Linked DNA regions of Zea mays. The protein of the gene in region 1 binds, or shares a complex with, the protein of each later gene. Links are inferred from orthologs where the notes say so. Each region holds a gene or a part of one and is shown in the gene's direction. Other genes may lie near its edges. The genes, in order: THO complex subunit 1-like, THO complex subunit 6 and THO complex subunit 3-like.

Region 1 (10,054 bases):
TCACTCTCTCTAGTCACTAGGGCTTTGTGATGAATTGGAGAGGATTTGATCTCTTTGTATGTGTCTAGAATTGAATGCCTAGCTCTTGTAAGTGGTTGGGAAGTGGAAAACTTGGATGCAATGAATGGTGGGGTGGTTGGGGTATTTATAGCCCCAACCACCAAAAGTGGCCGTTGGGAGTCTGTCTGCACGATGGCGCACCGGACAGTCCGGTGCACACCGGACAGTCCGGTGCCCCCTGCCACGTCATCACTGCCGTTGGATTCTGACCGTTGGAGCTTCTGACTTGTGGGCCCGCCTGGGTGTCCGGTGCACACCGGACAGGTACTGTTTGCTGTCCGGTGTGCCAGCATGGGCGCGCCTGACTTCTGCGCGCGCAGAGCGCACATTTATTGCGCAGCAGGTATCCGTTGGCGCGGAGACGACCGTTGCTCCGGAGTCGCACCGGACAGTCCGGTGCACACCGGACAGTCCGGTGAATTATAGTGGACGAGCCGTTGGCGTTTCCCGAAGCTGGCGAGTTCCTGAGGCCGACCTCCCTTGGCGCACCGGACACTGTCCGGTGTACACCGGACAGTCCGGTGAATTATAGCTGAGTCGCCTCTGGAAATTCCCGAAGGCAGCGAGTTGAGTCTGAGTCTCCCTGGTGCACCGGACATGTCCGGTGGCACACCGGACAGTCCGGTGCGCCAGACCAGGGGTGCCTTCGGTTCCCCCTTTGCTCCTTTGTTGAATCCAAAACTTGGTCTTTTTATTGGCTGAGTGTGAACCTTTTACACCTGTATAACTTATGCACTTGGGCAAACTAGTTAGTCCAAAAGATTTGTGTTGGGCAATTCAACCACCAAAATTATTTAGGAACTAGGTGTAAGCCTAATTCCCTTTCAATTCCTCTTGTTGTATTGATTAAATTTATTTAGTATTGTTGATTTTAGTCAAAACCGTCTATTCACCCCCCCCCCCCTCTAGCCGGTGTCCTAGATCCTACAACGAGGTAGCTGGGTTGTTCAAAGACAAACTCGGTGTTAGTGTGTCAGGCACATTGCAGTCGTATCGGAAACCCTATAGTCACCGATTTGATGTCTTGCCATGTCTGCAAGGGACTAGGGTATCAGACTTCTCGAAATTTACCGGTGAAGGCGGGAAAAGCACGTATGAACACACAAGCCATTTCTTAGCACACATAGGATAATTGGCTGATAGGGAAGCCTACCGTGTTCGTTTATTCTCGCTATCTCTGACTGGTACCATATTCGCACGGTACGCAACCCACCTAACTCAATTAACTCTTGGGAGGAGTTAGAACAAAAATTTCATAAACACTTCTTCTCAGGAGAACATGAGTTAGAATTAGCTGGTCTAGCTTCAGTCCGACAAGGGCCTGAAGAATAGGTTGATGATTATATCCGGAGGTTCTAGAACACTAGAAACTGATGCTTTCATATCTATGTCGTGGAAAACAACTAGCAAAATTGGCTTTTAATGGGTTGCAACCTTACTTAAAAGAGAAATTAGATGGCACCCAGTTCTTTTCGTTAGTGTGCTTGCACCAGCGAGCTTTGGCATGTGAAAACCAAAGTAAAGAGGCATCAAAATCGGCTAGCCACAAGATGCATCTAGTGGGGCGCGAAAATTCATTTGATGAATCAACAGATGTATATACCGCTGAACTTGTTTGGCCAACATAGGCTAAACCTTCTGCATGTTTTTCTTTGCAGCCGGTTCAAAAAAACGGTAAGAAAAAGTTAAATTTACTTTTGGTGTTGCCAAATGCGATAAAATATTTGACGAGTTACTAAAAATGACAACATTAAATTAACGTATAATATTCCTCTAGATGAATTAAAAAGATGTGATTACTATATGTGGCATAATTCTTTTTCCCATGCCACCAATGATTGTAATGTTTTTCGTCGAAAGATACAATCGGCCGTAAATGAGGGTCGATTGAGTTTTCATTAGTTGCAAGTGGACACGTAATCATTTGCTATCAATATAATAGAGCTAGCAAGCAAAAAGGTATTGGTTCGGCCGGAAGTGGTCGATAAAGGCAAATGCAAAAACGTCGTCATTGGCGATCCTCGCACGTCGAATATATCACAAGAAGGGATTGCTCGGAAATCTCTGGATAGAAATACTAACAAGTATGGAGGCACCAGGGGCTGGTTCAATCGAGCACTCGAGTAAAGCTCCCTGACTCGAACATTGCAGACTGTCCGTCACCTGCGCGCGGACGACCCGGTGCTCATGCAGACGGTCCGGCTGACTCAGTCGGATAGTCCGCCCATGGCCAGAGGTGTCAGCCTCCACAAAAAGCAAAGGGGATGCAAGGGCAAACCACATGTAACGCACATGGTCGGCTGGTCAAAACCGACTCTAATTTAATCAATTGCTATCCAAATACGCTAGCAAGAAGGGTGTTCTACGCGATCGGCCAACAAAGAAACCCTAGTCATCCGCTAAAACATAACGGTCGAATAAAACGACCCAAAAGGCGGCGCAACAATCATTGCCTATTCATCCATCTCTAGTGATGTCAGGATACTTTCCACCCGCCTACTCATCGTTGATATGTTATCCTGTGACGATGAACCCATGGTACATACATAGTCCTTTGCCTATTCAGGCTGGGAGCTCCTCCATTCCATACCTTTTGATCCATTGATCGGATGGTCATGGCCGAGAGAGATGCAATCTGAAACGTCCTTTATACATTAGAGTTATATTGAATGATCACCCTATTAGGTCGAAGAGCCGGTGACTTGCATCAGGCTTAGTGCATATGCTTTTGGTTCGTCAACCTTCACCAAAAGGAAGGGGGCATATGTTGAATAGCAAAAATGACACCCGGACCGTCCGCCCTAGGGCCGGATGGTCCGCGGTCCGAACTATCCACGGTGGCGACACAGACGGTCTACACGTACGCAGAATCAGATAGGGTTCCGAATTTCTAGCGGGATTTGTTAGCAAAGCATGTAGGAATAACTTGATGACCGACTTGTAACAGGTCTAGACCTCCACCTTTTATCTGGATGAAGGGGTACAACCGATTGAACCTCTCACAATCGATCCAATCAAATCTACTTATCAATTACCTTATTTGCATCATTCTTCTAATTCCTAGGAGTAGGAGTAATTTTGCCTTAGGTTTAGATCTAGTTTAGTCTTCCACAACAACCTCTTCTTTGACTCTACGCCGATTAGAGGAGCACCAGGCGGCCTGCCGACCCAGAGCACGCCTTGGAACTCTCCCCCTCGATGGGATCTCTCCCGTGGCGAGTTCTAGGATTCTCCACGGAGATGAAGACCCTCTCCACCACTGCGGACCGTCCGGCCCTAGGCGCGGACACATCCGAAAGCCTGCATAGGAGGATCCGCTCTTGTGCCCTGTGCCGCGGACCGTTCGCGCCTCCGTAGAGAGCACACCGCGCAGGTGGTTCGTTTCAGTGGTTGGCATCCAGATCGGCGCCAACAGGGTGATTTGGTTGTGTGAATTTTACAACGTTTAAACTGATGGGTGTATAGATATAGATATAGATTTTAAAAAACAAAAGAAATAAAAAAATGCCCAACGGGGAAGGTAGTATTTGGTCTGTACTGTTTCCTTGCGTGATGGACATGGACTCTCACACTTGACATCCGTTATGGGTCGCAGCCCATGCACAGCCCAGGTTCGCGGTCCATCTGTCTTGTGTTTCTCCTTCCTCATTCCTCAGCTCGAGCTCCTCGACGGCTCGCCAGTCTGCCGCCGCGCACGGCGCATCTGTTCCTTCTGCTCTGCGACGGCGAGCCTCTCCCCTCCCTCCGTGCTCGTATCGTAGCCTATTTTCGCCGCCGCAGCTTGCCCAGTGCTGTTATCTTGTGTTCGGCACCGCGTCAAAGGCTGACCCTCTCCAGGCGCCTGGTAGATCGCCCAGACTCAACCGGGTAAGCCTTACCGCGCACGCCACCATGGCCGAGCCCTCGCCGCCTCCGGTGTCGAACGCTGGCCTCCGTATCCTCCTGTCGAAGGACCGGCCGGCTCCCTCCCCTCCACCCACCGCCGCTGTCTCCAGCCACGCCGACCGCGACCGCATCATCGTGAGCTAAAACTCCCTCCCACTCTGTTCATGAACCCTAGCGCGGTCAATCAGTCATAGTAGAAACTTGAAACTTTGTCCCTGATTTGGGTGGCACGAAGGGTCCCGTCTTCGTCCATTTCCCGCGAGTGGTACTGTGCTAGTGCTAGTGCTAGTGCTGGTGGACTCCCATCCAGTGCCTCCACACGGTTGCAATTTGTTTCATGCATCACGTTTCTTTCTGTTTCGACTTTCGATCGCAAATTTTTTTTTTGAAAGGAACTTTCGATCGCAAAATCACCATGGAACTTCCATAGAGGCGTTGGAAAAACCGTTGGTAGCGGCCTAATTAGGGGTTGTGTGAGAGGATGGAGAAGGAACATTGGAAATTTAGGGGAGTTGTTTCTCCATGCTACCACACGTGTACGCTTGGTGAAATGTGGCCTTTGCTCTTTTCAGGGAGTTTTCAGGAGCGCGTTGTCTAGGAACGAACCCCCGGAAACATTTTCCCTTCAGACGGTTCAGGAAGCAATTAAACCTCAGGTATGTACGTTGAATCTGGCATGCTTGTGAGTCTTGATTTGATGATGAACCGTCAGTGGTTCATGTTATTATTTTCCTCTATTTTATTTGCTTGTGTTTTGGGTAATACCTATCTGATTCGACTTGTCTTTTAGTTCAGTTAATCATCTGATTTGACACACATATCTCATTTCACAGAAGGAAACCGTGTTGGTTCTAGAGGAGAATCAGTCCTTGGAAAATGCTCTTCGAACTTTGCTGCAGGAGCTTGTGGTAACTTTCCATGTGGCTACACTGTTCTTTGATCTCACTTGATGATAAGGTGGTTAGGGAGTGTTGTTGGCGCGTGCATTGTTCTGGTCACTGCATCGTTAGGAATACTATGTTTCAGAGTAGCAGAGTTTTAATGACGATTTCTAAAATAAAACGGAAGACGTGGCTGTATTTTTTTTATTTCAGTCCTAGAAAATTACATTGATTGCTGATTCTGTTTTATATGAAAAGTGCAGGTCAGCAGGTGTATAGTTCATTTGCCATCTTAGGAACCAAAATTGATTGCTGATTCTGTTTTATATTTTTTATTCTTAGTCATCTGCGGTCCAATCGGATAAAAAGATTATGCAGTACGGGAATTCTTTGGATAGCGGAGAAAGTAACTGCCTGATAACTCGCCTTCTTGGTCAGTTACACTTCTTCCAACATTCTATGTTCGAATCTGTTCCTATCTAAGGACTTATGCCATCACCTTCTGAGCACTATTTGGTGCATGTGTAGTATTATTTTCTGTTCTGAGAAACCAATGCTCTTCCATGATAGATATTGTGCTTTACCTTTGCGAAAGAGGGCATGTTGAAGGTGGTATGGTATTCCAGCTGTTAGAAGACCTAACTGAAATGTCAACAATCAAAGACTGCAAAGATATCTTTGGGTATATTGAGAGCCAGCAAGATGTATTGGGGAAGGTAATTTTGATCCCTATTTCGTTTGGTTAGTTCTGGTTAAATAGAGAAGATGCATGCTTGTAACGTTGTTGACTGATTATCGTTTTGGGTTGTTTGTAGCAAGAACTTTTTGGACGTGGCAAACTAGTTATGCTAAGGACTTGCAACCAACTTCTTCGCAGACTATCGAAGGTTAGATTCAGTTGTTCTGCTGTGCCCACCCTTTGAAGTTTATAAATTATATTTGCTGTTGTTCCCACATTTCAGCTTGGCTAAATGGCTATTTTGTTGGCCAGCTGATTTACCTTAGTTAATCTCGTATGTAAAAAAAAATCCCCTACCCTAACCCCCCAAAAAAGACCTGATATGAACTATGTGGCATTGCCAGTACGAAGAAATGGACACCCAAATTGAAAGTTAAAGAGGACATGAACCTGCACCTTGCGCACCAACTGAGATCGGCTCAGTTCCTAGTAACCTTGTCTATTAAACGGATTAATCAAAAACTGAACTGCAAAGTGTGTTAAGTATTGCTGATAATCTTGGCTATAATCTAAATGGTTGATTGTACTGTATCACCAAAATCTTGAACCTCATGAACCCATGGTTCTTTTAACCTACCGAACACCTTCAATTATCACCCTTCGAATGTATTGGAGACTTGGAGTTTTCCAGCACTTCTTTTTGGCTGGAGAGAAATGCACCACTGGTCTTTTAACTTGTCCTACCGTGTCATTTAAAAAACTCGGCCGGGGAGGGAAAGACCGCCCTCCCGGTATTCCATATAAGAAGTGTCAACGAGTCTATCCAGTTGTAACAGCTAGGACCGAGTCTCTTGTTCATGTAACGGCCTCTGCCGATTCTCTAGGTGCATGGCCGATCAGCTGTGATCCGTTAGGTTCGGCCACCGCCTTCTGTACGTGTATAAATAGATCACTTGAGATTAATACAAGTTATGCGTTGATCCAATTCACCTCTTTCATGGTATCATTCACCAGGCCCCAGTGACTTCAGCTCACCGCTGCTCTCACTTTCTTCAACCTCTCGATCCCTCCTCTGCCCCTCTTCCACACGCCATGGACGGCCATTCTTCCTCCTCTGACTCCGACACCTTTGTTCCTGAACAACCAACACCCGAAGACACGCAGGTCGTCGTAGGATGGCGGCGTGCCGAAAAGGAGCTGGTGGGGAGTTGTGGAGCCAGTAGCGCGGCATGGACGCCGATTGAGGAGAAACGTGGCAGTGGAGAGTGCCTCGGCCCAGAACGCTAAAGGAGCTGCACAATGAAGAAGGAGGGTACGCAGGCAATTGTTGATAGTGCGTAGTATGCGTTCGGCTTTCCCATTCTGTTGGGATGTGTAGGGACAGGAGAGGCGAAGTTGTGTGCCATGAGCGGCAAAGAAGGTGCACATAGCATAGGAGTCGAACTCTTTGTCGTTGTCAGTCTGGACAGCGAGAATAGGCAAGCGGAATTGGGTATGAACGTAGGCAAAGAACGTACGGAGGACGTAGGGGACGTCAGATTTTTGACGCAGCGGGAAGGTCCACACATAGTGAGAAAAATTATCAAGAAGAACGACATAATATTTGAAACCAGTATGACTAAGCACTGGTGAAGTCCAGACATCCGAATGCACTAACTGAAAGGGAAAATGAGTAGTTGTTGCTGAAGCAGAGAATGGCAGCCGAGCGTGTTTGCCAAGGCGACATGCGTGGCAATTGTGATCGGTAGCCTTATTACAATGAAAAGGGAAATTATGAAGAAGCTGAGACAGAGCCGGAGTGCCGGGATGTCCGAGCCTTGCATGCCATAAGGAGACCGACGAGGCTGATGAAGATGTGAGGCCGAGGTGCTGCAGTGGGCGGAGTGGATAAAGATCGCTGGTGCTGTTACATCGGAGAATCTCCACTTTGGTTGGTTGAGCCTTGATAGAGAAACCATCGGAGTCAAATTCAATAGAAACATTGTTATCGCGAGTTAAACGGCGAACGGAAAGAAGATTCTTAACCAGCGAAGGACAAAGAAGAATGTGATTAAGACGAAGAGGATAATGAGAGGTGGGCAGAGTGGCGGAGGCACGGTTGTGGACAGGCAAAAGGGCACCATTGCCAACCGTGACTGTCGCAGAATGAGGTTCGAAGGAAGACATCGAAGGCATACCAGAGGTGGACGACATGTGACTGGTTGCGCCGGTGTCAAGGTACCAGTCAGAGGCGGATGGAGCAGTGGCGACGCCGGCGGAGTGAAGGGCGGAGTACAGGGCTTGGGGAAGTTTCGGAGTTGACGGCGCATACATCTGAGTCACAGCCATCGCCTGCTGGGGCTGGACGGGTGGACGAGGTCCGAGGACGCCCGCACCTGGGGCACGGAACGGCATGGGCCACGCCTGGACCATGCCAGTCCAGGGATTGTAACCCGCGGTCCATGGTTGGCCTGCAGGGGCCCGTGGTGCATAGCCGCCGTTGTTGGCGGCTCCAGAGCCGCGCCCGCGACGCCTGTTGCGAGAGCGCACACGAGGAGCGCCAAAGCTGGCAGATCCAGTGCCTGGTGGAGCGGCGGAGGCGTTGGAGTTGGCGGAGGAGCTCTCCCCGCCCGAGGACTGCTTGGAGCCGGAGCTGTGGCCAGCGGCCAGAGCCTGAGCGGCGTCGGTCTTGGCGTCGTGCTCCTCGCCCAACTCCTCGAGCAAGAGGAACGAGCGAGCGCTCATGAAGGTGTGTGGTGGGAACTTGGCGGTGATGACCGGCTTGACATGGCGAAACCGAGGATTAAGACCGCGTAGGAGGTTGAGCACCTGACTTGGTTCGGAGACGGCGTGGCCGACGTCGCGAAGCTGATCGGCGAGGTGCTTCAGGCGAGCGTAGTACTGGGTGATGGTCATGTCGCCTTGTCGGAGACTGCGGAATTCCGCCTCGAGGTAGACAACACGCTGGAGCTCGTTGTCACGGAAGAGGTTCTCGATGTCACTCCAGAGGGAGAATGCAGAACGCTTCGGTGTGTGGACGATGTCGAACACCGATTTGGAGATGGTAGTGTAGATCCAGCCGACGATGCAGTGGTCAGCCATGTGCCACTCAGCGTCGCGTTCGTCCAGCGGGGGCGGCGAGCGAACATGCTGAGCGAGACCGAACTTGCCGAGGACTTCATCGAAGAAGCACCGCCAGTGGCCGTAATTGGCCTCATCGACGTCAAGGGTGACAGGGACATGAGCACGCAACCCAGCTGCCCATCCCTGACGAAACGTCTGATTCTCCAGGTTCTTCCCACCCTGCAGCACCTTTGCATCCACCGCTACGTCCTCATTCCATGGTGACTAGATCCCGCACCGGTGCTGTGCCTTCACGACCTGCTCGTTTCACGGATTATGCTATGCCTATCTCCAGCAACACATCCGCACCACAAGTTTCTCCCGTGCCCACCTCAGTCCGACAGGCTCTTCGTGACAGCAACTGGCTTGCTGCGATGAAGCTTGAATTCGATGCTCTCCAACACAATCAAACCTGGACTCTTGTTCCTCGTCCACCGGGTGCTCGCATTATCACCGGTAAATGGGTATTCCGGCATAAATTCCACTCAGACAGCACCCTTGAACGCTACAAAGCGCGATGGGTTGTGCGCGGCTTCAATCAACGCGCCGACGTCGACTTTGGCGAGACGTTCTCCCCCGTTGTCAAGCCTACGACGATCCGCACCGTTTTGACTCTCATCGCTACGCACGGGTGGCCTGCGCACCAATTGGACGTCTCCAATGCCTTTCTCATGGCCACCTCACCGACAACGTCTATTGTCAGCAACCGACTGGCTTTGTCGATCCACACAGGCCTGACGACGTCTGTCTTCTCTCCCGATCGCTCTACGGTCTTCGACAAGCTCCACGTGTCTGGTTCGAGCACTTCACCAGACACGTCACTGGTATTGGCTTCACTCAATCCAAGGCTGACACGTCGCTCTTCATTCTCCACCGCGGCAACGATGCCGCCTATCTACTTCTGTACGTCGACGACATGATTTTGTCAGCGTCGTCTCAGGTTGTGCTTCAATGCATCATTCGACAGCTGCGGACTGCATTTGCCATAAAAGACATGGGACCCCTGCGCTACTTCCTCGGCACTGAAGTCCGTCGGGATGGTACTGGCTTCTTCCTCAACCAAGCCAAGTACGCCGCTGATGTTCTCGATCGCGCCGGCATGTCAAATTGCAAGCCTGTTTCGACACCAGCTGACTGCAAGCCGAAATCTTCGACGACTGATGGCACTCTCCTCTCCAATCCATCGGCGTATCGCAACATCGCTGGTGCACTCCAATATCTGACTTTAACACGACCAGATATTGCGTATGCTGTTCAACAGGTGTGTCTCCACATGCATGCGCCCCGCGACGTCCACGACACCATGCTGAAGCGGATACTGCGCTACATCAAAGGCACACTGGACCTCGGCATCCGCCTATCGCCCATCACCAACGCCATCGTCACCGCATACTCTGATGCGGACTGGGCGGGATGCCCGGACACCCGACGCTCGACGTCTGGGTTC
Region 2 (10,058 bases), on another chromosome or scaffold:
CTCTTGTGAGCAAGTTTGAGAAAAAGAATCGCTTGACCTTGGTGGTCGGGTTGTGGAGGATTAGGATTGAAAAAGACCCTGCCCTTTGTGGGCTCCTCAACGGGGAGTAGGACACCTTTGTGGTGTGGCCGAACCTCAGGATAAATCTTGTGTCTTGTGTTCTTGCTCGATCTATGATTGTGATTTTATTTGGCAAGATAGACATCATATAGGTTTACTCGCCGTGTGGATCTTGTGGTGAATTAACTCTCGTATTTTCACCATCCACGCTTAGCTTATCTCTCGCGTTTTCCACTATAAGAGATCCATCTTCTATTTTCTGCACAGTTCATAGTCTAGATTTATTCTAGCAGTTGAACTGGTTCAGAGTAGTTCAACTTGCCTTTATTACAGTTGAACTGGCCTGCACCAGTTGAACTGTAGATTTAACATTATCTCGAAGGTTCTGGTGATAATTTTCAGGTTTAGCCTATTCACCCCCTCTAGACTACTTTTAGTAGGCATCATATCCTTCAGGAATTTTTTGATACGAAAATCCTAAATTATGGGCATACTGGTTTTTACCCTATTTCTTAAATGTAATCCTAAACCACCTAGGAGGAACCGTGTTAAGAAGAGATAAGCAATTGTGCCTTGTCTTCTGAAAAGATAAAAGGTGTTTGTCTTTCAAATCTAGAAAAGACAGTTTTCTATTATGTCACATAAGTCCAACCTAGAATTTAATCATTTTTTGCACTACACATGCAATGAGAGGTGAACATAGCAACCAGTGTGGAACTACTTAAAGGTCTGTTTGTTTCAGTTTTTTTCTGACGAGCTTTTACGAGAATTTGATTGTAGGGATAATATGGATGTGAGGAGAATTTGAGTATTATGTGGATTACATGCGAAGGAAAATGAAGGGGTCCATGGGGTTTAGGATCTAGGAAGTGATGGATTCCTCCTGTCGCGACGACTCGACCGATTGTGTGTTCACGTTAATTTTGAACAACTTTCATCAAAGCGATCCTCATAGAAGCGAACTGAGAAGCTGAGCGTTTGGTAGTCCGCGACAGCTTGTGACAGCTAGAATCAGCAAAAAAGCTGAAAAACAAACAAACCCTAAGATGATGGAAGAGCAGTTCCCTTGCCATGACCAATATTTTATCAAAATACATAGCACAAGCTATGTGGCTAGAAAAAAACCAAAATATCTTATAACTTGGAAATGGAGACTTAAAAATGTTGGCTAGGACATTAGGCTATACTTACAGCCTCCTCACTTGTCATAGATAACTTCATTTGTGTTCTATAGACTATTTTAATGCATGTCACTCCTTTTTTAGCAACTGCATTTGATACATGTGATTATAACCAATGATGTGGAATGTTTTGTTTGCAATTTAGGAAGAAAACAATTTAGAAGTTCGAGTGTTCTTAGATTTAGTGGATGATAAGAAGTGGAAAATTTGGGAAGAACACAGGTAAGTGTGTGTGAGGATAATTTAATTCACTCCCATATAATGTGTGCAAGTGTACAAAATAATGAATTAGCCTGCCATGGTTTGGGCCTGTGTATATAAGGTTCTCGATACAATATGCATGTTTATTTTCATTTCTATCAGCTGATGTATTCTCATTCCTATCGGTTGATGTAACAATGAGTAATATTTTTATATTCTAGAATTCATGGGTTGGTCGATAGTGCAAATTTATTGGCCCGAAATCACTTGCCTCTTATTCCACCATGGTTATCTCGGACTGCCTACTTAGTTTAGTAGTTTGAGGAATTTCTAGCGGGCAACATGTATAAGTGTCTAGGGTTCGGTTGGAAATTGTCAATTCATGTCGCATAAGAATATGTGCGATATTGATATCAATTATAATATATGTATTGTTTGTTTTCATGTAATCGTTGTGCACTAACATTTTATCGAATAATTTGTGTGTCGTCACAACGCACGAGCATTGTACTATATATTTGAAGCACCAGCTGAATCGACATATGATCCATATGCGTTTGTATAACCTCATATATGTACTCACACCTACATGTTAATTTGGTATCTACAACCATTGGAAACAATGCCTATGGGTATCACCCTAGTGATAAATCGGAACATGCTCATAGCTCAAGGTTCAAATGTCATTTTTTGGAAAAGATGTCCATGAAAAGAAAATTAACAAATAAATAATCTCAAATCCAATTTAACCTTAAAAATCATTAGAAAAAACTACATTTATATTTAACTAAAACATGCTCTATTATTAGATCCAGTTTGAAGTTATTTGGGTATTTTATGGGTTCATTATGATGTTTATTTTATAGTAGTTATTCTTCTATCTATAATACTTATAATTGACTTGGAGGAACTAGACTTCATATAGAAGGGTGACCTCAACGATTAGAGAAGTGTTGAGGAGAGCTTTTGGTCGAATATCTATATTTGATGAAAATTGTTGCTTTAGTCTATTTTCAATTGGCTACCTCCGAACCATGTGTCTAAATCGGAGGCTTAGGTCGGCTCTCCATCAAGAAACGACAAGCCAAAGGAGAAGGAAGAAATGAAACTTTAATAGGATTGAACTACCTTAGTACGTTATCGAAGGAGGAAGAAAAGGTGTATACAACACTTCTTCCCTAAAAAAGACATAATGTTAGTCTCTAGTTGTACATAGTCTTCATATAGAGGAGTGGACATTCTTTTTCTGAGTTGGAATGTGTGTAATCTTGATCTTATAAATAAGTGTACAATGCCACTGTTACAAGGGTTGGTCACTTGTATGTCTAAGCCTGTAGCACCTTCGTGCACAAAGAGTATTAGAAGGTATGTCATCTTCAAGCACTTAAATCAGTTTAAGAAACCTTCAATACCTTCCAAAGGTTTCATAACTGCTATGTATTCCTCATCTTTGTTTAATCCAATAAAGGAGAAAGGAAAAATGTAGACCCTTGTAAATTGAATACATGCTTCGTCTACGTTATTTAATGGTACATTAGAACCCATCAAAGATAAAAAAGAGAGAGACTTTACTTTAATTGTGTTGCCCAGTTGCGTTTTTTTACAAAAGCTTCAACAAGTCACCAATAACAAATATCTTAACTAGCTCATCAACTAAGCACTGCATATGAGGTCATTACATAACACTCATAACATTGTCGAAGTCACTTTGCCCTTGCCTTATACAAAATCCATGTCACCATAATGTATCCATAGAAGATTCAAATAACTCCACAAAAGATTCTAGAAAAAGAATTCAAAATTGTTTCATATTTTTGTCGAGCAAAACCATATTTTTGTGTGAATTAGACTAGATTTTATTTTTAAAAAATTGCATAACTCCTAAGGGAGATGTTCTCAAGAAAACCATATAAATATTTTTTCTTATAAATTTATTTGTTTAAAATCATAAGGGAGCGTGCCACAAAGGCTTAAAGCATTTTGATGGAAAAGTTTAAAGATGGGCCAGAAGCCGGCGGAATTCTAGTTGAAAGAAGCCCAGCCCAACCCGCTGTCGCTTTCACTTTTCTGTCGGGAACTCGGAATTGTCCCCGTCTTCCCTGATCCCTTCGCTCCCCGAAGCAAAAGCGCAGAGCGCATCAGCGCAGAGTAGGACAGCCATGGCGACGGCGGCGGCGCAGTCCCATCCGGCATCGATGGACGCGCGCCGGTGGGACGAGTCATCGTACCGCCGCGGCATCCTCCGTGCCCGCGACCTCTCGTCCCGCACCCTCTTCCGTGCCGTCTTCTTTGACCACAGCGACGACCCGGATACCGACATCCTACTCGCCGCCGCCTCCAGCGACGGCTCCCTCGCTTCCTTCTCCCTTTCATCCTGCATCTCCGCATGTTCCGCTACCTCCCAGGTTCGTACCCTTTGGCCAGAACTGATTTTTTGGTGACGCACGCCCAGAGAGGCGTAGAGTGAGTTTTTCTTGGTCTGGTTCTCAGGTGGAGACCGCCGCCACTCTGGTAGATCCTGTCTGCATCGTGCAAGCGCACAGCGGACCTGCCTACGACGTCAGGTTTTACCCCGATCAACAGCAGCCGCTGCTCTTCAGGTGACTGACAGAATGTTTGACTTGGCATGTTTCATACACATGGCTAGTTACTAGTTGAGGCTAAAAATTCGCTTAAATTAGCTGTGGTTAGCTAGCTAGTTGGCTACCAACTAGTTGAAGACTTGGCTAAAAAAATTAACCCACCAATTTGCCCTCCTGTTCGGTGGATGCGCTAAAGCTAATTTTGGCTATTTCTTTAGCGCTAGCAACTAGCCCTTGTATCCAAACAGGCTCTTATCCTTATTGACTTCTCCAACTAGTTGAAGACCTGGCTAAAAAAATAATCCACCAATTTGCCCTCCTGTTCGGTGGATGCGCTAGAGCTAATTTTGGCTAATTCTTTAGCACTAGCAACTAGCCCTTGTATCCAAAGTTTCCAAACAGGCTCTTATGCTTCTTGACAATATTACCCATGGCAATGTGCTTCATTTGGTTGGAGACGGTGATGGGTTAATGGTTGTGCGGTTCTTTGGCTGCTTACTTCCTTGTGGCAGCTGCGGGGACGATGGCCGCATCAAGGGTTGGAGGTGGCACGAGATGCAGAGCTGCCTTGTCCCGCTCTCCCTGCAAGGTGCTGCATTCGAACTTCCATTCTTTTTTGACGTGGTTTCTTTCATAAATGGTCATATGCTTTACCAGGCCACTAGGGCATTGCGATGCATCTAGCACAGGTGCACCGAAAAAATATGCACATTTTTTACAATGGTGTAGGTTTGATGCAGGAGAAATCATGAATCATGCCCTGCACTGGCATAGATACAAATCTAGAATCTTGCCAGTGCAAGGCATGATTCATGTGAAAATGTTTCATAGTTGCTACTTATTTTATCTATGAAGATGCATCAATATCTTTTGTAGTTTTTCTGTGTGTTGCGCCTTGAAGGCCAAGTTAATATTATTTCAGTTTTTTTAATAACCAGTATAGTTGTATTGATAAAAAGTGAAACAAGGCATCTGTTGTTTTTCGTACATGAGAAAAGGTGGAAGGAACGAGCATATGTTGTTTTTCCTATAAAGGAGAAAAGGGAGAACAAACGAGTATCTGTGTGGAAATGCGCCGAAAATTGCCTAGTGCATCTTCTACATTTTGGTCATTGTTATTGCTTTTACCAATTTTTCTGTTGCCTTTGTTCACAGGGGATCATCTGGAACCAGCACTTGACTTGGTCAACCCTCAGCACGAGTAAGGATTCTGTGATAAAACTGCAATCTCAGACCTTCCAGTTTACACCGTTTATTCCAGCAGCTGCCCCCCCCACCCCCCCCCCCCAATTTACCCTGTTTGCATTGTTGCTGCTCAAGGTTATTAAAACGATAAAACGCTCATGGGTGAAGTTTTGACTTTTAAACAAAGTTTAAACTTAGTTTTGAACAACATAGGAAAAATACCAATATATCATAATTTCAGACAATAACATGAAGTTAAATACCAAAATAGAGAGGCTAGTGGCTTATCAAAACTTCACCCATGAGCCAGATTGGACCCTAACTAACAGACTGGGCCCAAAAGTAGCTAATGGTCTAAAACACATAAAACACTGCGTTTTACAGTTTAGAACGACAAAACGTGGTTTCAAGCTCTAATTAGCGTTTTGACGTTTAAACATAGTTTAAACGTAGCTTTAATAACATTGTTGCTGCTGGCAATTTTGTAGGGGTCCTTGGGGTGCTCGATCTCCAGTACCTGAAAACAATGCCATTGCAATTAATAAACAGGTTAACAACTGGAACTTTTCATGTTTTTATATCCTCCAGGAAGTGTGACTGTCCCAAATTTTCGTTCCTCATGCATATTGCTTGGTTCAACAAATCTTATTTTCTGTTATCATCATTCTTCCAAACAGGATGGATCCATTTTGGCAGCAGCGGGTGATGCATGTGCTTACTGCTGGGATGTGGTATGTATTTTCTTAAGGTAAATTGAACACACATAGAAGGAACTGCAGTTCTGCTTTAGAGTCTTTAGCATTACAAGCTTGGATAATATCAATGCTCTGTGCTTGAGAAGGTATCTGAAACTAATGCTAATCATGACTGCTTCTCTCAGGAGACCAGTAAATGTAAAATCACATTCAAGGGGCATGCTGATTATTTGCACAGCATTGCAGTTCGTGAGTCAAACCGCCAGGTTATTTGATTATCTTGGCTTTCCATTATTTGATGTTCATCTTGTCTATAATATGTACAATATGTGATATGTTACTAACTGACTTATTTTTTGATCAGGTTGTAACAGGATCAGAGGATGGGACAGCTCGTATCTGGGGTGCGGGTTTCAAACCATCATCCTTTCCTGTCTTGTGCATTGTATTTTTTTTTTCTCGAAAGAGCGCAGGAGGACTGCGCACCCATATATTAAAGTAGAGGGAAAATAAAGGGCCATAAGGACCCAGGTACAAGCACTCCTTATGGAGGCCAGAAACAAGCATACACAAAGCTATCCATAAAACTGGACAAAAAACACTACAGCCCTAGGAGCTAGGTAGTTTGGCTGGCCAAAAAGGAAAGCCCCTTGGCACCAGCCAGCCGCCACGTCTCCTGTTCATCCTCAGCAGCTTGAAGAAGGAAGGAGATAGAGGGGGTCCTTCCATCGAACACCACCTTGTTTCTATGATTCCAAATCATCCAGGCCCCTAAAGCAACAAGGGAGTCCAGTCCTTTCTTTCCCATGTTGAGGACCTGAGCCGAGGAATTCTCCCACCAACCAAGGAAGGAAGGCTCCACTTGCTGAGGGGATAAGCTGTGTAACCCAAACTTTCTCAAAAGCCTATACCAGAAAACTCTTGAGAACACACAGGAAACCAGCAGGTGATCAATGCTTTCAGGTTCTTGATCACAAAGAGGGCACCTAGCCGGATGGTTCATGCCTCTTTTCTGCAGCCTATCAGCAGTCCAGCATTTATCATGTGCCACCAGCCACAGGAAGAAATGGCACTTGGGTGGCATCCAGGATTTCCAGATTCTTTTGTGGTGAAGAAAGGAGCACGATCCCTGGAAGAGCCCTTCATAAGCAACTTTTGCTGAGTAGTTACCATCTGGCGCTATGGAAAAAATGTGTCTGTCTTCAATATCAGGATGTAGCTGAAAATCCGTTAAAGCTTCCCAGAGATGCAGAAAATCAATCAAGGCCCCTGCTGAGAGAGCGCCCCTAATATCACTAATCCATCTCCTATTGTCCATTGCCTCTTGCACTGTTCTTTTATTGGCAATTCTTTTTGATATGGTGCAGAACAGTCTTGGTGCAATATCAGCTACCTTTTTCCCATTAATCCATTTATCCACCCAAAAAAGAGTATTCGCACCATTGCCAACCTCTGACATCAACACTGCAGAGAAGAAGGACCTGGCAATACTTGGGACCTGAATGGGTAGGTCCACCCATGGCCTCGAAGAATCAGTTTTTTGCAGCCACAACCACCTCATTCTGAGAGCCCAACAAAGCTTAGTCAGGTTAGAAATCCCGAGGCCTCCCATATGTAGAGGCCTACAAACCTTTTCCCAGGCTACCATACAGTGACCTCCTTTAGCATCCTTTCTGCCTCTCCATAAGAATCCCCTTCTAATTTTATCAATTGCATCCAAAGCCCACTTAGGAAAATCAATAGCCATTGCAGTATAGATTGTCATACTAGTTAGGACATGCTGCACTAGAATTCTTCTGCCAGCTTTGTTCAACAACTCTGCCTTCCAGCTTGGGAGAAGATCTGCAATTTTCTCAATAAAGGGCAGGAGCTGCTGTTTGGTTAGTTTGTGTAGAGAAAGAGGGAGACCCAAGTATTTGCAAGGTAGGGACTCCACCCCACAAGGTAACAAGCTTTGAACCTCCAGGATGGTCTGCTCCGAACATCTGATAGGATAAATACTGGATTTCTGCACATTGTTGTGTAGACCTGAGGCATTCCCAAAGATGTTGAGAATGTCCAGAGTAGTGGAAATGTCATTCTGAGTTGGGAGCAGGAAGAGGGCCACATCGTCAGCATAAATAGAAATTCTATGAAGTTTCTTTCTGTTGGACAATTGTTGCAGCAACCCTGTCTCTTCAGCTTTGGCAAATAGAAGGCAAAGGACATCCATGACTAAAATAAATAACATGGGGGAGAGGGGATCCCCTTGCCTGAGCCCCCTTCTATGTTGGATTTTATTGCCAGGGCACCCATTGAGCAGCACTTGAGTAGTTGAGGAACCAAGTAACCCACAAATTATATTTCTCCAGATTTGGCCAAAACCCAAAGCCTGCAGCACCTCAATCAGAAAAGGCCATGAAACCGAGTCAAAGGCTTTTGTGATGTCGAGCTTAAAAAGAAGACATGCCATATTTTGCTGATGTAAAAATCTTGAAGTTTGCTGCACTAATATAAAATTGTCCTGTATAAATCTGCTTTTGATGAAGGCACTCTGATTTGGGGAGACAAGCTCATGCAGATGACCAGCAAGCCTATTGGCCAGGATCTTGGTTACCAATTTTGCAAAGCTGTGCACAAGACTAATCGGTCTGAAATCCTTCACCTGATCAGCCCCATCAAACTTTGGGATCATAGTAATATATGCAGAATTAACTTTATCCAAGTTATTGAAGTTCCTACACCAAATTGCTGAAACTGCATTGAGTACGTCCACTTTGATGATGTTCCAACAAACCTTATAAAACCTCCCAGTAAAACCATCTGGGCCAGGGGCCTTGTCAGCAGGTAGGTTCAAGACAGTTGCTAGAACCTCCTGCTCAGTGAAAGGGGCGTCCAAGATGGAGAGGTTATGAGCTGGGAGGCCGAGAGCAGCTAAATCAATGGTATTCTCCCTGGAGACCGACTGACCAATAAGGTTGGAATAAAACTGATCCACTAAATCTGCTTTGGCAGCATGGCTAGTAATAATATTATCACCGTCTTTCAGCAAGGTCACCAGATTTTTCCTTTTCCGATATCTAGCATGCATATGAAAAAACTTGGTGTTTGCATCCCCCTCCTTAATCCTGGATATTCTTGATCTTAATCTTGCCATGGTACGCTTGAAGGAGGCCAGCAGCAGGGACTGTTTCTTGAGTCTATTTTTAAGCCAGCATTCAGCCGGAGATAGGGCCCTGTGATCTTGAGCGATTTCGAGTTTATGCAGCAACTCCTTTGCCAGACAAAGCTGCGAAACAATATGTCCTACCTGCTTATCACTCCAGCTGCGTAACCTCATGGCTGTCACCTTGAGTTTCCTATCCAGGGTGATGAAGGGACAGCTGACCGGCTGTACAGAATTCCAAGCCTCCAGCACCACGTCCTGAAATCCCTCCATTTTGGTCCAAAAGGACTCAAAATGGAACCTTCTCTTGCCAACAATATTGTCTTTTAGACCAAGAAGCAGCGGGCAATGATCTGAATCTTGAGAGGATGAACTGAGCAGAAGCACATTTGGGAAGTATGATTCCCAGTCAGCCGAGCAGAGTACTCTATCCAACTTCACAAGCACCGGGTTATCCTGTTGATTGGACCAGGTAAACTTTCTGCCATGTAGCTGAATTTCTTTAAGAGCTAGATCGTTGATCAGCGATCTGAACCGGCCCATCATGTCCCTGTTGAGGTTGAGTTGTTCTTATCACTGTTCTTGTAGATTAGATTAAAATCTCCTGCGACCACCCAAGGGCCAACACAAGCCGCTCGGGTATCTCTCAGCTCCTGTAGAAAAATAATTTTTTCAGAATTCCCCTGAGGCCCATAGACACATGTTAACCACCATGGCTGGCCGTCTTGTCTACAGAACTGCACTGAAACACAATGATTATCAATTCTCTGGAGTCCAGTATGACCAATATTCCTCTTCCAAGCCACTAGTATGCCCCCACTATTTCCTATCGAAGGCAGGAACACAAATTCTGTGAATTCGACACCAAGCATGGATAGTATATCTCTTCTAGAAATAGATTGCATTTTAGTCTCTTGACAGCATACAACATCAATTTTAGCAGAATCAACCAGCATTCTCACAGCATCTTGCCTGATCGAAGAGTTAAGTCCTCTCACATTCCAGAAAA
Region 3 (10,071 bases), on another chromosome or scaffold:
GCGAAATATTGCAAACATGGAAGTTGTATGACATGCATTATATAATCTAATAACAAACATCACATGCACTTCAAATCAGTACAAAAATACATGTGTATGCTGAACTATAGGACATGTCATTTTGATGTAAGTATAAATACATCATCCTGAAGCATAGAAGCGTAAGATACCAAGAGAAGGTTCAAAGTACTGAAGTACAACACTCCATTATGATTTGCTAGAAAGTTTGTGCCCAAAAAAATCAGAGCGTGCATTATGCTACATTATATTTATATATTTTGCATCAAGAAAATAGAATTCAACAAAGCAGTACAAAATTATTCCAATGAAACTTCAGTCTATCTGCATATGTTGGAAGAAAACAACGGACACATAATAGCATGATAAATTTTATCAAGTGAATTCTATTTGAAGCATCAAACCCTCAATCTCAGCATCTATCCTTGTTCTATTTAATCCTGATTTCTTTGGCAAACTAGCAAACTGATGAGCTATTAAATGTATAAACGTGTAAATTGGATTCCTCATGTTGCTTTAAGACTCAAGCAAAATGGGTACTTTGGTTGCTTAGCTATTGTCAGTCCCGTATACAATTTGTTCTTAGCGGGTATTATTAAATGTTGCGCTTTATATTTTGCATGTTCATTAAATCAACAATCACTAATCCACACTGCAAATTTTTAGATACATCAACATGTCATATGACACCAATTGGTACTCATGTTTCACAATATGTTCAAGCCTCCAAGGCTCCAAGCTCATCATGTATATAGACCTAGAAGGCAGATATAGAAAGGATAGTTTAGAAGTAATAAACAAATTCTTAGTCTTGGTGCATCAACAGAATGATCAAATCCACTTACCATAGAAGCATGATCTGTAACAGGACAGTAACCACTGTAATACAGAACACGTAACAACATACCCAATATTATAATCTTGCTCCATTCCATTCTACAACTGTCGCCAGCATATAGAAAAGGGAAACTCGAATCAAGTTCAATTTAACCTTAAAAGCAGGTACATATAAGCTAAAAACTTACTATATCGTCATCAATTTTCTTCTCATCATTAGGGAATTTAAGTGGACTAAAAAAGTTGAAGAAGCTCACACAATCTTTAGTTGTGATAGGTTTAGTGGTCTTTAACCCCTTGTGTGGCTCTTTTTTAGCACCTTTTGTGTCAAGCATGTTCCAAGGTACCATTCAATTTCAGTACTAAAATTGGTAAAACTACGCATTACTATAACTTTCTATTCATTCAAAAAAATGAACCACATGTAATGAAAATATTAATAATTACCCAATGGCTTTCTCTAGAATTTGGTTCATCCTCATCAATCATGTTATATGTTCTTCTGAATTCTTGAAGAACAAATTTGCACCAAAGTAAAATGGAAGGTTACTTTCTAATCTAACCAAGTTTATGATTCTGTTATCAACATATCTTGGATATGTCAATATAGCCAGTTAGAAAAGCATGTGCAGTTGTATGTCATATGTCGTTGTGAACACAAGAGCTAAAGTACACATACCCTGTTAAGGTCGTGTGTCTCCAATTTAGGCAACGGAGCAGGCATGAACATGGACCACATATCCCTTTTGAAGCCTATGTACATAGCAACATCAAAATAGTAGTAATAGGTGGCGACGGTGTAGCAAAAGGTATGGCTGCAACTGTGACGGCAAAATGCATGCAATCCTCTCTTTGCAACTCAACATGCTTGCTACACTGAAAAGTTGTGAAACTGTCTATGTTTGGTGCCCTTTAAACCTTGATATCAAGAATAACATATGGCTGTCATAGAAGCAAATAATTACTTGGACCTGACGGTGTTGTCTGGACTGCCTGAGCCAACGACGCTCCCATAACCTGTATCAGTGAACAACTTCTTCACAGCCAACTTGCTAGGTGAGCGCGACGATTTAGAAGTGTTGACGTATTTATTCACAAATGGACTGTTATATAGTAGGCATAAGAAGGAGCACAATTTTTGCTGATAAAACTTGCCTCTTCCTATAAGCATATTTTCGTTCTTTGGTCGCCATAACCAACTGGCAGAACTTCAGTACTCCTAGAAGCATGATGTAGAGGAGCATCAATGGTAGGATGCCTGCTACAAACATGCCTCCATCAGATTAGAAATAGTACTCCCTTGAACAACATCACATATTCTTTTGAGTAAAATGGAAGCACAAGGGAAATGAGAGAAGAAGGGCTTTAATTAGTTATCTGTTTTAGTGATTAGCAAACCATCATTTTTAATCCAAGCTACTAAGAATATTTCTATGCTTTATACTATAAGGGAATGACTAAGTAGTGGGTTGCTTTGTGATGACTGACTTTTATTTTCTTGACAAAAGTTGGCATACTCTGCATTTACAAAGAAGCAAGAAAAGGGTCACCGATAGCTTTGTCTATCAGACAACCTTCATAAAAAATTTTGTATGCTAAAGAGTGTTCCAGAGAACCATAGGTTTTGTAAGAAGATTTGCACAACAAAGACTCTAAAAGCTATAGATTTCGAGTGCACGAGTCCTACAAAAAATAGACATGATATTTATTTCACTTCAGAAAGAGAAAACACTAAAAAATAGAACTCGAAGAAGGGGGTCCTAAATTAGTTAGTTGTTAAAGCGATTGACAAAGCATAATTTCTCTTCAAGCTGAGGAAAACATTTTTTTACATCCTGAGGGAATGGCAAAGCATCAGACTGTTCGTGATGGAGAAATCCTTTTTCTTTTGAAATAAGTGTATGTACCCTGCAATCTAAAAAATCAAAGCCAAGGACAACTTTATCTAGCAGACAAATGGAGGTAATAATTGTATGCAGATTGATTCACTACTGGATGAAATTGCATTTTTTCACAAATTGTAGCCTCCCTAAGCTCCTGGCACGAACGAAGCATACAAAGCCAAAAAACTGAACTCTAGAGGAAACAATGGCAGTAGCAGCAGATGAACTAATCTACCAGTTCTAGTAAACATGCATGAGAAATCCTAAAGGCAGCTCTGAATTGGCAAGCGAACTAACATGAGAATGGAAATGAACCTGCACCCAGGGAGGCCTTCTCGAGAGATAGGTCATGAACGCTACGAGCACCACATCAGGCAAATCCCTTGGCGACGGTGGATACGACACACAAAGAATGGAAAATCGCAGGCCTAAGGAAGGCGATTTTGGGGGAAACTTCAGTTGTAGGGCACAAAAACGCGAATTGAGGATGAGGGGGACTGAGGAGGAGATAATAAAAGGGAAGAAAGTACGAACCTTGTGTCCATGCCGCGACACTGCTTAGACGTGGGGTTGTTGTCAAGGCGCGCATCGTCGTGGTCAGAGAGGACAGTCACGTTCAGGGCTGGCGAGGACGAACCCCAACACATCTTCTCAAAGTGGAAGCTGCCTGTGGTCCGCGCTAGAGCAGGGGGCACAACAGCAGCGTCAAATCAGCCTCCATGGGGACAAATCACGGATGGTGTCAAGCGGAGGCTAGGGCTCGCGGTCGAATGCGACCTTCGCCTGACTGAAGGACAACCATACACCCGTGCCCATGCCTCCGCGTGCCGCGACGGCATGGCGACCTGCGAGGCGTGACCTGAGCACCTGCCAGCAACAGACGTTGGTCACTATAGTTGGCAGATGCGACGCTATAGCGGATGCGCGGCGACCGAACGGCGAAAGGCAAGGCCTGACCTGAGCTGGTTTCTGCACCGGACACCAAGCTCTGTAGCATGTGGGTGCGCACTGTAGCGGTGTCTGGGAGCGCGACACGAGGAGAGAGAAAGCATGCATTGGCGACACAGGCAAGGCAGGGCACGAGGGGGGCACATGTTGGCGCGTCCGATGCTGTACTGCCACGCGTCAGTAAACGTTAGGTGCCGAACCCGTGAAATGCGGTCGGTGTTTCAAACCGGGTCAGGTTTTAAGAACTTAGATATATATGCATAATTTGATGGGTTACCTATTCGGATACACCTAACCTTTTCTACCATATTCCTTGATCAAACTTGGGTATTATACTTTACCTTCGTAGCTATGCTATTGCTACAACTTAACTTTATGCAGTCACTCCGATTTGTGATATTAAGGTTCCAATTGGTAAGTTTACATTATTGTTGCTAATCCGACGATTAAGCAAGATCATATGATTTAATTGGAACATGAAGTGACCACCCGGGAAAACAGTGCTACCATGAGGGTGGTATGGGACGCCCTTGGCTAAATAACTAGGGAAGTCTTATGTTGGGTGCTGGTCGTGGTCGACCGGAACGGGGGCATCTGGCAAGCGCTTATATTTCTGGCTCAGACAGATTGGATACATGCATAATTCCCAAAGCTTTACCCTGCAGACTGGACTATAAGTTGGTTACGTTAGATGTGCTCTATGCAGTTTGACCATTTCCAGCATTTGCATAATGAGGACTCTAGGGAAAAGCCTCGTAGTGAGACCTTAGCCATTCACCTCGGAAGTGAATACAGGTCTAGCTAACCCAAGCTAGAAGGGGATCGTGACTCATGGGTAAAGATGCGCCACCTCTGCAGAGTGTAAAACTGATATATCAGCTGTGCTCACGGTTAAGAGCAGCCTAGACTCCTCACATGATAATTGAACTTGAAGATGGAAATAAATCGAGATCCGATGATCTGCCAATGGTTTGCTTAAGTGGTTTCACTTAAGTGTTTTTGATATACTCTTATACCTTTGTTTAATGGGAATACTTGGGATTCACACTTATTAGTAAGACAAGTGTTGTTAATAAAATGTTGACCAACTAAAATGCCAATCGCATTTAACTTTAGCCTTACCTTGTTACCTTGCATTTTCCCCCACTTGCTGAGCCCTGACCATAAGTGAGCTCACCCTTGCTTAAATTTTGATCAGAAGTTTGCAGATGAAGTTATGATGCTGAGCTCCATGGATGCTAGTCTATTGATACCCCCGGTCATCTTCCTGTGGATGGATGTCCATGTTTCGCTGTACTTTGATGAATAAAGGTTAAGACATTATGTCTGTTCGAAGTGTAACATGTTAATATAATCTTTATTTACGCTCTTATGTATCATTCTTTTAATATATTACACTTGTAATGTCAATATATGTGTGAAAATAAATCCTGGCACACATATGCTATGCACCCGGCTCTGTCTCAAAGAAACGGGTGTGACAGTTAAGGAATAGGTTTTTCTTTCAAAATGAAGGTTGGTAGCTTATGGAATCATGGGCCTAGATCATATTAAACAAACAGGACCTGAGTTGCTGAATGTTTTAATGTAGCCTAGCCCATCAGGCCTGGCCCGATCTCTTCATGGGCTAGTTTGTGTACTTTGGGATTGGAATTGGATTACTCCCCTCCCGGACAAAACGGGGCGAGAGCGCATGGAGAGCAGAGAGGAGGAGAGGAAGGGCAGCGGTGGCGCCGCCGCCGGCGGCGGCTCGACCCCTGGGGCGAATCTAAGGGACCTGGTGTCGAGGGAATACTACGGCCACAAGAAGAAGGTAATACCTCTCAACGCCTCCCCAATATCCCATTATAATTTCTTCTGAGCCCCTATAAAACCCAGAATCTCGCCAGAAGAAAGGTTTCGAAGTTCCAATCATTAGGGTTGCAATTCGTAGGGTGAGGCCCTAAATTCCGGCCTTGCATGCAGAATGATGAAACAAGGTGCGGAAGTAACAATCTTTGGGCCTTCCGGTTTGGTTCCTGAGAACATAGATGGGATCGTGGACCTATCTTGCTTTCGATTCGAAGCTATAAGCGTGGAGAGGGGATTTAGCTATTTCTTCTCTTTATATAGAGCATGAAAGGAGTCAATGTTAAGGCATGATGAAAACGAAATATTGCTGCAGCCACAGTTAGTTGCAAATGAATTTAGTTGCAATAGGCAATCTATTTTGGTTGTCCTTTGTTGCAGCAAAGGGGCCGTGGTGCCTGTCCTTGCAGGGGAGCAAGAGCAGTTTTCCTCTGGTTCTATAAAGAAATTTGAGATTATCTTAGGGCATGTTGTAAAGTTGCAATGAGGAGAAATAAGAAGGAATGATCTTTCTTTCAGGATGAATATATGACATTCTGAGGATGTTTTTTCTTTGTTTCTTACATTATGTTGAATGTGTTGCTTAATTGTCCTTAACTCCTCATAGCGATCTTCAAAGCAAAACCACTCTACCCTAGTACTTGTCGGTACAAAATTTAGATTGATTTGTGGGTTCTTATTTTTGCTTTGTTTTATGCATTTCTTTGGTAATCTTATCATTGTGTTCACCATTCTGATAGTTTTTATCATTAGGTGCACTCTGTAGCATGGAACTGCCTAGGCACAAAGCTTGCTTCAGGATCGATCGATCATACCGCACGTGTCTGGAGCATTGATCCACATGTCCATGTAACTTTCTCTCCTTCTGTCCTTGGTACCAAATTTATCTTTACAGAATGGGATACGCTCCCCACTGTTTTCTTATTAAGATAATGATCGGTTTGGTAAATTTTGAAAATCTGCATAACTGGTATATTCCCTATCTTATAGAACCTAGATAATAAGTTATGACATTGAACTTAAGAAAGCATTAGTTTGCGTGATATGCCAAAGAGGGACAAATGCTTCTCATCTGCACCTCCCTTTTAACTTCAAGCTTTGGCTATTGCAGAAATTGTGACAGGTACTTTACAGTAATATTCCTGTTTCTTTAGCTTGTGCGCAATATAATTTACTTTTCAGTTTATCAGTTATTGTGGTGTAACTCAACATATAATGTTCTTATAGTGCAACGAAACCTTTACCATAATTTGTAGCACGAGACGTGGTTTTATTCTGAACCGATGGAATCTTCAGAGTAAGCTGTAGAGTTTTGAATAACTTTTAACTAGAGTATATTACCTTGATTCTTAATAATAGCCCTTTCTATGCTTTTCTATTTGGTAGCAGAGAGCCAGAGAGTGTAATTTCAGCGTATGTTTCTATACCATTGAAAGATCTAAATGGGAACTTGTGCTAATTTGTTACAGTCTAAGGTTAAAGATATTGAACTGAAAGGCCACACAGATAGTGTAGATCAGCTTTGCTGGGATCCAAATCATCCTGATACAGTTGCTACTGCAGCTGCTGACAAATCTATTCGTCTTTGGGATGCTCGAAGTAAGTAGCACAGTTCATCCATGATGTTGCTAGAAAGCACAGTTTTTCTTTAGCATTTCATAATGCATTTAGCATTATACTTCTTAAAATCTATGAAATACATCTTTTATTTTGACTGCATCTGGATCCATATAAATTTCTATAAGCTGGTAGAAGCGAAGTTCATTCAGCTTTTGAGATTGTGGAAGCGGGCTTGTGAAGATGGTGGGTGTTTGGAGACCATCCTAGCTTCTACAGGCTCGAACCTGGAATCTGATAAGATCCAAACAGGCCCTTTGTTATTTCCTACATTACCCCACATTTACAACAAATTTGATGTGGAAAGATCTATTATGTAATAACTTTATCTGGAAGCTATTTTGTCATATGTGACATCTGGCTTTCAGATGATATATGTTGTATTTTTTGTTCTATCTTGGACTCTTGGTGGTAGTTTCTGTCAATCAAGTTATAATGATTTTATCTTCTCGTCAATGCTTCTTTGTGTCTTTTTAGGTGGAAAATGTCAAGTTGTTGAACTTAGTGGAGAAAACATCAACATCACATATAAACATGATGGCACTCAGATAGCTGTTGGAAACAAGGTTTGTACTGCCTAACTTTTCTCTGCTAATGCCAAGAATGGATACATTTAGAAAACTGACCTATATTAATGTGGTTAGGTTTATTTATTTACAGTAAGATGGATTGTTCTACTGTCACTTTTGGCTTATACCTTTTTCAGCAAGTACGTTAAAAAAGTTCAGCCATATTGCTATTTTGGTGTTTCTTTTCTGGAAGTCCTACAGTTTTGCATTGCTGAATCCTGTACCAGTATGGCAGTATCATAACAATATAGAATATAGAATTGGATTATGCACCTAAAGTTGTACATATAGGCATATTAATTAATCAATTAGATGGAGCTGTGACATGTTTTATTCTGTTTGGTTATAGATAAATATTCTTGAGCTTGAGAAATCTATGTAAATAATTTAAGTAATTTGTGAAAAACATGCATTTTGGGGGAGGGGGGAGGGGAATCATATAAGGTTAATAAAACTGTATCTATATGATGTTTACAAATTACTGAAACTCTAATTTTTTCAAATTATATATTTATATGTCTACAATAACAGTTTTGTTATGGTTTGTAGGAGGATGAGCTGACGATATTGGATGTTAGGACACTTAAAGTTGCTAAGAAACACAAGTCTACTTACGAGGTAATTATAAATTGAAGCTTGGATATATGAATCATTTTCTAACAACTCTTTGTTTGATCCAACTGTTCTTTGGATTAGGATGCACATATACATGTCGGTAGAAATAAAATAAAATAAAATAAAAACTCGACCTGGAGGGGGTAAGACCGCCCCACGACATTATATTAAGACCCCATGACATTATATTAAGAAGACCTCATGCAGGTCGAGAAAACCCTCGAACCCCTGCTCCACCCATAAACAGCGGCACCGTAGCCCATGTGAGAACGACTGCGACCGGGGCTGGGCCTTAGACCTGTGCTTTGGCGTGGGACAAACGAGGGTTTTTTTTAACCACAGCCTGAAAATTCACTCCTACGGGGAGTTAAACCCAGGACCTGAGGAGTGCTACTCAGAGCATCTAAACAACTCGGCTAGAGACCCTTTCGCCTTGTAGAAATAAAATGAGCAGCACTGTTCTTGTGTGCTTGTCTGAGACAATTTGATGTATGGATGTTTTTTGAGTAAATGGGTACTGCTGTATGAATTTAGCAAATAATTGAACATATACTTTATTTTAAAACTTGACTTGCGGGGGATAAGACAACCCCCATACATTGTATTAAGAAGAAGACCTCACACATGTTGAGAAAACCTCCGGACACCTGCTCCAGTGCTCCACCCATACACAGTGGCACCATAGTCCATGTAAGAACGACCACGACCAGGACCAAGCCTTACACCTATATTTTGGCATGGGACAGACAAGAGGATTTTTTTAACACTGTCTGAAATTCGCTCTCATGGGGAATCGAACTCAAACCACCTAGCTAACTCAGCTAGAGGCCCTTTCGCTCGTATACTTTATTTTAATTTGTGTATTGCTGATCATGAACCTTTCGGCAGATGAGGTTTTTTTTTCACCCCAGTATAAAATTTGCTGTCATAGGGAGTCAAACTTAGGACCTGCTACTCAGCCACCTACTCAGACCTGGGGGTGGGGGGATGGACTGATTTGCCATTTTGGCCTCTCCCTCAATGCAATGATACACATTATGTGTGTTCAAGGAAAAATGTTGCTTTCACTGTTTAATGTTTGCAACTTTGTATTATTGCTTTGTTCCTGAGATGAATGAGATCGCTTGGAATAAAGCTGGAGATCTATTCTTCATTGCAACTTTGCACTTTTTTTTTTGGGGGGGGGGGGGGGGGGGGAGGGAGGACTGATTTGTCATTTTGGCCTCTCCCTCAATGCTGATACACATGTGTGTTCAAGGAAAAATATTGCTTTCACTGTTTAATGTTTGCAACTTTGCATTATTGCTTTGTTCCTCAGATGAATGAGATTGCTTGGAATAAAGCTGGAGATCTATTCTTCATTACTACTGGGTTAGGTAGGATACTAAATGCTTTCTCCAAGCTCACGTTAATAATACTGAATAAATAAACACTGTATTTACATTTTGGCAGATTTCTAGTGCTACCATATTGTATCAGTTAATGTTTCCGCATGGTCTATTGGTCATGCAGGGCACGTTGAGGTGGTTAAGGATCTTGAGTTTTTAAAGCCCTGCAAGCTGAATGCTCATACAGCAGGGTGTTATTGCATTGCAATGGATCCACTTGATAGGTATTTTCTATTGAAGGCTCTTTATTTATTCTCGCCCCTGGTACTTCTTTGGATCACTTGGATTTGTAATTTGTACTACTTCAATTGGGTTATCTGGCCTGCTATTTGATTTAAGATGTATGTA

What was found.
Region 2: THO complex subunit 1-like (region 1) and THO complex subunit 6 share a complex: the UniProt entries of both Arabidopsis thaliana proteins name them as parts of the THO complex. The link is inferred for Zea mays from reciprocal best matches to the Arabidopsis thaliana genes THO1 and DWA1.
Region 3: THO complex subunit 1-like (region 1) and THO complex subunit 3-like share a complex: the UniProt entries of both Arabidopsis thaliana proteins name them as parts of the THO complex. The link is inferred for Zea mays from reciprocal best matches to the Arabidopsis thaliana genes THO1 and TEX1.

What each region holds. Positions count from the first base shown.
Region 1 is NC_050096.1:2,946,969-2,957,022, forward strand, and holds the start of THO complex subunit 1-like, read left to right. Parts: upstream 1-3,684; 5' UTR 3,685-3,951; coding exon 3,952-4,080; intron 4,081-4,517; coding exon 4,518-4,601; intron 4,602-4,778; coding exon 4,779-4,853; intron 4,854-5,168; coding exon 5,169-5,259; intron 5,260-5,396; coding exon 5,397-5,542; intron 5,543-5,641; coding exon 5,642-5,713; intron 5,714-10,054. UniProt on the Arabidopsis thaliana protein: Acts as a component of the THO subcomplex of the TREX complex which is thought to couple mRNA transcription, processing and nuclear export. Contributes to the integrity of the endogenous trans-acting small interfering RNA (ta-siRNA) pathway.
Region 2 is NC_050102.1:102,978,815-102,988,872, reverse strand, and holds the start of THO complex subunit 6, read left to right. Parts: upstream 1-3,462; 5' UTR 3,463-3,601; coding exon 3,602-3,847; intron 3,848-3,932; coding exon 3,933-4,042; intron 4,043-4,536; coding exon 4,537-4,613; intron 4,614-5,179; coding exon 5,180-5,225; intron 5,226-5,697; coding exon 5,698-5,758; intron 5,759-5,886; coding exon 5,887-5,940; intron 5,941-6,089; coding exon 6,090-6,170; intron 6,171-6,268; coding exon 6,269-6,308; intron 6,309-10,058. UniProt on the Arabidopsis thaliana protein: Acts as a component of the THO subcomplex of the TREX complex which is thought to couple mRNA transcription, processing and nuclear export.
Region 3 is NC_050102.1:86,884,075-86,894,145, forward strand, and holds the start of THO complex subunit 3-like, read left to right. Parts: upstream 1-5,354; 5' UTR 5,355-5,379; coding exon 5,380-5,499; intron 5,500-6,287; coding exon 6,288-6,383; intron 6,384-7,003; coding exon 7,004-7,133; intron 7,134-7,628; coding exon 7,629-7,717; intron 7,718-8,269; coding exon 8,270-8,338; intron 8,339-9,653; coding exon 9,654-9,711; intron 9,712-9,847; coding exon 9,848-9,947; intron 9,948-10,071. UniProt on the Arabidopsis thaliana protein: Acts as a component of the THO subcomplex of the TREX complex which is thought to couple mRNA transcription, processing and nuclear export. Contributes to the integrity of the endogenous trans-acting small interfering RNA (ta-siRNA) pathway.